Linked DNA regions of Arabidopsis thaliana. The protein of the gene in region 1 purifies or fractionates together with the protein of each later gene. This does not show direct contact. Each region holds a gene or a part of one and is shown on either strand. Other genes may lie near its edges.

Region 1 (3,753 bases):
CTGCAAATTTGATTCCATGTCCTTAATAATTCTCAAAACACACTGGAATTTTAACAACAGCCATAATCTGGTTCCACTTCTGCTTTCTCTTCACTTGTAAAACTCAAAGTCCGTGTCTGGCTTCTTAACATTTGCGCGGTAGCCCTTCTCGAAATCCTTAGGTAGTATCACATATCTGTTCTTTCGCACCGCATGCATACCAGCTTCCTGGCAAATTGCTGCTATCTGCATTGTTCAACATAAAATCAAAATAGTGTCATTAATAACTATCATCATTACATGCAATCTTTTTAGGAACAATTCCCATGTACATGATAAAATCAAACCATATTACTGCCAACAATTGATTTCTCAACAATTCAGTTCAGGACAATGATTAACAAACGACTCAGCTAACATTCATACATAATGCTTGAAACAGTATGATTATGCTCAAGTGCATATTTTGAAGAACATCATTAGGTGGTGACCCAGAAACACTGGAGGATATATCATGGTAAAAGTAAACTATAGCGGGAAGAATAGAATGGTAAGCAAAATAAACTAACCTCAGCAGCGCTAATTTTATCAGGCCGTGAAACATAGTCTTCCAAGTCAACCTCATCGCTAAGGTTCATTTTGGAGGTGCATACCTACACAAGGAAAAACCAATCAATAAGACAGAAACTAAGATATCAGTCAAAACTTTCTTTTGAGAAAACATTTGGTTTCATATCTCTTTAACTAGTTATTTAAGTGCTTGTAGTAATTAACTTACCTGGAAAACAAGCCTCTTTTGACGTCTATCAGGAAGGGGGAACTCAATCTTACGATCAAGTCTTCCAGGACGTAAGAGAGCAGGATCTAGAGTGTCTGCCCTGTTTGTTGCCATTATGACCTTGACATTCACGGTCTGGTCAAATCCATCCATCTACATCGAATTCAACACAATAAGTTAAGGACACAACTAAAATCCATTATTCTACAACATAAGATCTGAATTACAACTAAAATTCATTATTTGTTCTCACCTGATTAAGAAGCTCCATGAGAATACGCTGAACTTCCCTATCGGCTCCTGTTTGAGCATCAAACCTAGCAGTAGCGATGGCATCTACCTCATCAATGAAGATGATAGCTGGAGCATTTTCCTTGGCAAGACGGAAGACATCACGAACCATACGAGGTCCCTGCAATTAAAAAACCAGTTAGTCACCAAATAGAATCGCTCAATAGGACCTAAACCTTCAATAAAGCTATGATTTTTAATACCTCGCCGAGATACTTTTGCACAAACTCGGATCCAACAACCCTAATGAAGGCAGCAGTTGTGTGATTGGCAACAGCCTTAGCCAACATAGTCTTTCCAGTACCAGGAGGTCCATAGAGCAAGACTCCACGAGGTGGGTCAATACCAATCTGTTTGTAAAGCTCGTGGTGGGTAAGAGGCAATTCAACAGCCTCACGAATTTCCTGTTTCTGAATATCGCATCCTCCAATATCCTACACAAAAAGATAAAGCACCACATAAGAAACCAAAGATCGTTTCAAAAACCCTAACTTTAATTCAGAAAACAGAGTCGAGATTTGGAAAAAAGGAAACATTACATTGTAGGAGACGTCAGGCTTCTCAGATTGGCTGAGAAGGGAGATGCTAGAATCAGCCTCCGGAGGCAAAACATCAACAAGGGCGTTGGAGTGACGGTGAAGAGCGACGGAAGCAGAAGGCTTTAAGAGTTCTCTATTGATTGTGCTGAGAATTCTGACATAGTAATTGGAGCCAGTAGTAGATCCGACGATGCCGTTGTTCTGATCTACCATCTCCATGAACTGACCTATCACCAAAGGCACGGATTGAATTCGTTTGACCTCTTCTTGTGCTCGTAACAGCTCTCGTTTGAGATTCTTTTGCTCGTCTTTCACATATTCTTCTTGGATATCGGTGAACTCTAGTTGTCGTTCAAGCGATTTGAGGCGGCCATAGAGATCTTCTTCGTCTGCGGTGGATAGATCCATCAAGGCCGGTGATGCTTTAGGGTCAAGAACCATCGATGCAACAGCCGCGGAAGCCATTCTTTGAGAGATCTTTGAGGGTGGGGGAAGAGAAAAGTGAGATTGCTATGAAATTAAATAGACTTTTGCGAACCGAGATATCTTTGGAGTAGAGGAAAAGAAATGTTAATTTGTGAGCCGACTCATCTAAATAAAAGGAAAATAGATTAAATGGGCCTTTTGTCATAGTAAGGCCCAGTTTTGATATTTAATAGCCCGTTTACTCTCTCCATTTTAATTTGTTTATTTTGTGACGGAGTTGGTCTAAATGGTATCATCAGAAGTATATAGCTCATCATCGCCTAGTAACCAAAACTGAGAGGAAACAATTTAAATTTCCGAACCAAAGCCGCTCATCAGAGTTTCAGTTCTACTTTCAAATTGAAAAAAACAAAGTTTACCTTGGGTTGATAAACTTACAAATATGCCATTAGTATTAGTAGTATTAGCAGCCCACTCAAAAACCAAAAAAATATATGGGGCATGTAGACAAAAGAAAGCTCTCTTATGCTTTCCTCTTCCTTAGTAACCTTACGGATGATCTCTTAGTGGCTCTTGAGCTGTGTTCCTCATCACCTGATTCTTCAACATCCTTATCTTCTTCTTCTTCTTCTTCTTCACTTGGCGTCGTTGCTCTGCCTCTCTTTCTGGCGCTTGTAAGATTAGCGTTCTCATTTCCTTTAAACACATAGATCTGCACCAAGCAAACATTTTATAATCAACATGTGAGAATGTCAACTAACTCCAACCACATGACTCTTGTTCAAGACACATACATACCTTGAACTTCTTTGGTTCAACCAATTCAAAGAGTAGAGCATCACCATCATCCAATTTATGATCAAGAGCAAACCTTTTCCAACCACCACTGAGTCCAGCTCTTCTACCAATGTACACTGCTTCATACACTTCGCCTTCTTCATCCTCTAGTTCTATTTCCATAGTTTCCTCAGGAAAATTGTCTGCACAGAATCTTGAAGGAAGCCCCTTGAAATTTGCAAGCAAACCCATGTAGGTCAAGTAAGGTACTAACACGAAATCCTTGAAGAAGAAACACACACAAGTGTTGTGAACGAACGTACCAGCCAAAAGCAACTGTAAACATGGGAGCGAACCATAGATTTCACAAAGTAAGGATGTGGAGATTTAAGGCTCCTCTGGAACTTCTCTGCAGCCTTGAATGCTCCAACCTTTTCTTCATAAGATGCAAACTTGCACTCATGGAGAGGTCGAGAAATGTAGCTGATGAATTTTAACTAATTGATCAGATGAAAGGATAGTTTTTTAGGGCAAAATTGTGGAGCAGGGCACTTACGTCGCCCATGTAGAGCTATGTCGCGATCTCCTCAGATTCGAAGTACGACCAGTGTCTACGACGACCTGAAAAGAGACAAGGGATTGGGTTGATTGATTGCTGTGAAAAATCTATTACAGAAGTAAGAGAAAGCTGGGAAAATTACATCATCGCGATAGGAAGAAATTACGGTACGAACACGGGAAGAGCGTCTTGGTTCAGCAGTAGCTAAGAGGGCTTTATCGATGGGTTTGTGATTACGCTGCTGAAGAAGCTGAAATTGTGGTAAAGCTACAAAATTGGACTAGGAATGAAGCAGAAATGGAAGGAAAAAACACGAAACCTGAGGCGTTTTCTTTGTAATCTGAGTCAGAGTCTTAGAAATCTGGGAAATTCCTAAATCCTGAGATTCAATAATCAAAATTGAT
Region 2 (3,753 bases), on another chromosome or scaffold:
AACATGTCATCTGGTCCAGGAAGGTACCTGAAAATTCAAATATATAAGACGTCAGAGAGATTTTTGGAAGCAAATATAAACAAAGCTCACCACTTGTTTCTACAAGATCAGTTCAAATAACAAAGAGTGAGGAAAAATAAAATAAATAGGATTGACTATGTTTAAAGTACCTAGCTGCACTTGTGAGATAGTTGCATGTCCTCTTGAAATTTGTTTTGTCTACATGCTCAAGTAAGAGATCAAGATCCTCAACATCCATTAAAAGATCAACAGCTTCGGTTTCTGCATTATGCTGCAAGGAGTAAATGAAATCGTTTAGAAATAAATAAATCGCAGAGGTGCTAATCTCAAGCCCTATTAGTTTAGGAATTCACCTTCATGTGAAAAGCAACAATTTGTTGCACAAGCTCCATTAAATCGTCAATAGAGGCCTCCTCACTCTGAGATAATGAACAGGTAGATAAATATGACTCAGTGACCTTTCTCATTGAATAAGACACATTTAGTCATTCCTCAAAACTCCAACCATCAGAATTCAGAAGGATAAACCCAAACACAACTTCCAACAATCTTAGAATATCTGCACAAGTCCTAGGACGAGAAACTGAATTTCCAAAGACAAAATCGAAAATTGATTTCTAACCTGACGCTTTGTATACTCTTGTGCAATCTCTCCAGCTAAATTCCTGACATATTCATGACCCCACGATCCAATGTCACCCTCTGTTCCAATCAATCTAAACCTTAAGCTTTCCTGGAATTATATTGTAAAAGAAAGTGATTAGCAGTTCAAAGTATGCCTTAAAAAATACAAATCAGAATACAAAGTATGCCCAAGTCAGTAGAAGCATACCCTTTCACCATCTGCAGACATGGTAAGGGCCAGGACAGACAGGATATCGGACAGGTACTTCTGCAAACATAGCAAATGTAATTTTTAAGCCATACCAATATAAGAATTGTTAATGACTTGAAATCAATGATGACATACTTTGAGATCAGAATCAGCCATTGTTTCATGAAACGCTTTAAGAGTTCCATAATGGGGACGCAGAAACTTTAGTGGTTTGGGAACTGAAGTCATGGAACTTGTTGAAGCTCGGATTTCCTGCCTACAAAGCCAAATAAAACTCTAATTAAAAACATAAACATGTACACCAAGAGCAGAGAGAAAGAAAAAAAGCTTTATAAGTTGTACAAGCTTCAGTGGCAATAATCTGAAAACCCGAAGCTGATCAAGTCAAGAATTACCTCATGCTCTCAAGGGCAGCCTTCTGCAATTCCGGATTAGGATCCTGAACCCTCTCAACATAGAGCTCAAGGTTCTGCTTTAGTTCCAAGTCCTCTTCAGACTACAATCACAACCCAATGTAAGTCGAGTCATTAAGAAAGTGACCATATACAAACAAAAAAAACTTTCCTCACATCACAAGTTAACAACTTTCTAATCCGGCTAGTCTAATGACGAACAAAACACTCACTTTGCCAGATTAAAAACCCTAATTCTATAACACCCCTACTTCAACTCGATCGAGACTCCAATTAAAAACCTAACTGCAGATCTTACAGATTTGAAATTAATTCGTTTCTGATGAACCCAGATACTAAACACGACACACAATGTCGAAAAAGGATTCGATAAATCAAAAAACCGAGAAAGAAGAAACTTTACCAAATCCTCATCCTTTTTCTCGTCCTTCTTCTTGGGATCCTTAGACGGAACCTTCAAGGTAGCTTCATCTTTCTTCGCACCGCCTCCGACACTGTTGGGATCCTGAGTTGGAGCCATCTCTACAGTAACAGATCAATCTAAGGAACCCCTTGTAAAAAGCTTGAAATTTGAACACTCAAACGAATCGAGAAGCTTGTGCTTGTGCTATCGAAAACTCTCTGATTGCAGGAATTAAAACAAAAAAAACTCTTCTGCAACTCTCTAATCAAAGCACAATAATATATGAAGAAGAATCTAAATATTGGAATCGGAGAAGATAACCCCTCGATCAAGATTTCTACACTATAGAATCAATCAGCCCATTACAACCTCTTTTTCAATGTCACAGCCCATTAACCGTATTGGGCTCATTTAGTGAGTTCTTCTTACATGGGCCCACATGTCTAAAATTATTTATTCATCATATTTCTGTATGGTTGAACAAACATAATTTATCCTTATGACAGTTAATTTATTTCACGTTTGAAGAGGATTTCGACATATTTTCATTCTCTTTTCGACCGGTCGCAGACAAAACTGCAAGACAAGCTTTTCTTTCACAACCTAGTGAAGTCATAGTTTCGTCTAATTCACTGCATTGGATCTGGTCATTAGTAAAATTGTTGAAATATCTCATGATCCTTGTAAATTCAATATTGACAATTTTTGACCATCTATCTCATGGTAATTTAGTAGTTGAAATCTTCACCAAAGAGTTTATAGAGACCATGGTTTTTTGTTATTTTCACTATGATTTTAGTAAAAGTTAGCCAATGTAGATGTAGGCACCAAAAACTAGTGTGCATTTCGATTTGGAATGTCCGGTTAGAACAAAAAAAAATGATTTGTCTTCATTATCTTCGACCAAAGTCCTTTAAATTTTTGAATTTGAACCGAGTATTCATTTTGGTTATATTGGATTTTAATACCATGCATGTAGGGTTTGAATATATTTACTTTTGCCTATAAATACGTACTTATAAAAAGCATATGTGTACAAGTGTGAGTGGAAAATGAGATGCTAGTAATAGTATCCGCATGTATATGAATTATCAATTATGAAGAGAGAGGGACCATTCAAATTTGAAGGAGACGAGAGAGAGAGAGAGAGAGTGGTCACAATTGGAGAAAGAAGAGGTCGTTACGTTGGATTTTACGTTGCCTCCATGCACTTCCTTCTCCTCTTATCTCGTGGTCCTCTCCCTCTCTCCTCATTATTATTTTATGCCATTGTTCTCTCAATCCCAACAATACGTTTTTATACGGTAATATATGCATGGTAAACACACAATTTCATTACTCATTTTTCACCATATATAACCGGCTGGTATTTTTAAGTATAAGTTATGTTTATAAATTATAAGTGTATATATACTCGTGAGGTTGTCCTCTTTATAATCAATTGGTCGTCGTTTGCGACTTTGCTTTGAACGCTTCCAATTTCCATATGATCATTTGATATGGAAATTTGTTGTGTTATGTTTTATAAAAAAACTTTATATAAGCAATCAAGTTCTAAATCACCAATGGTTAGAGAAAATATAGGTAATTTATTTGCGTTAATAGAGCTAGAGTGTACTTAGCACCCTAGATACATATGAAAAGGGTCTCCTTATTAGTCACATGGGACGATTAAGTAAAGAGTAACTCTTAACACAACAAGGGTCAAAACAAAAACAACCCTTGGAAAAATAAAAGTACAATAATTGAAAGACATGTCGTCGAATTTTTGTTTGGTTCTCGCTTGCCTACGGATCTTGTGCGTTTCAGGCACAAGACGCGGTCGGAGGAACCTCAGAGACACCGTGACGGTGAAGCTCTGTCATAACACCGTCAACAGCCGGCGGATTTAATCCCAACGGAAGTGGCAGCCATGGCCTCGTCAATACATCTCCTATGGCTGCATCCACGCTCTCTTTTGACTGTTCCATTTATAATATATATACACAAAAAGTCAAAAATACATAATTACATAATCAAATGCGAAAAGTCAAAACTCGACAACAATCAATTCATTATATTAGATTCTTACCGGATGTAAG

Evidence for each region. Proteins that work in one complex are often made in the same cells at the same time.
Region 2: the proteins of RPT3 (region 1) and RPN1A purify together in Arabidopsis thaliana (affinity purification with mass spectrometry; 2 studies listed by BioGRID, with this or other methods). This does not show direct contact.

What each region holds. Positions count from the first base shown.
Region 1 is NC_003076.8:23,567,454-23,571,206, reverse strand, and holds the start of RPT3 (regulatory particle triple-A ATPase 3), read right to left. Parts: upstream 2,156-3,753; 5' UTR 2,053-2,155; coding exon 1,588-2,052; intron 1,483-1,587; coding exon 1,252-1,482; intron 1,170-1,251; coding exon 1,011-1,169; intron 911-1,010; coding exon 758-910; intron 633-757; coding exon 549-632; intron 226-548; coding exon 91-225; 3' UTR 1-90. Other genes in the region: AT5G58280 (AP2/B3-like transcriptional factor family protein), read right to left, coding at 2,537-2,725, 2,812-3,018, 3,114-3,273, 3,347-3,411, 3,492-3,590, 3,669-3,753. UniProt on the Arabidopsis thaliana protein: The 26S proteasome is involved in the ATP-dependent degradation of ubiquitinated proteins. The regulatory (or ATPase) complex confers ATP dependency and substrate specificity to the 26S complex.
Region 2 is NC_003071.7:8,857,247-8,860,999, reverse strand, and holds the start of RPN1A (26S proteasome regulatory subunit S2 1A), read right to left. Parts: upstream 2,039-3,753; 5' UTR 1,790-2,038; coding exon 1,673-1,789; intron 1,353-1,672; coding exon 1,252-1,352; intron 1,113-1,251; coding exon 992-1,112; intron 914-991; coding exon 854-913; intron 755-853; coding exon 644-754; intron 441-643; coding exon 375-440; intron 293-374; coding exon 171-292; intron 28-170; coding exon 1-27. Other genes in the region: GPRI1 (GBF's pro-rich region-interacting factor 1), read right to left, coding at 3,478-3,633, 3,744-3,753. UniProt on the Arabidopsis thaliana protein: Acts as a regulatory subunit of the 26 proteasome which is involved in the ATP-dependent degradation of ubiquitinated proteins. Required during embryogenesis. Required for optimal plant growth and stress responses. Required for innate immunity.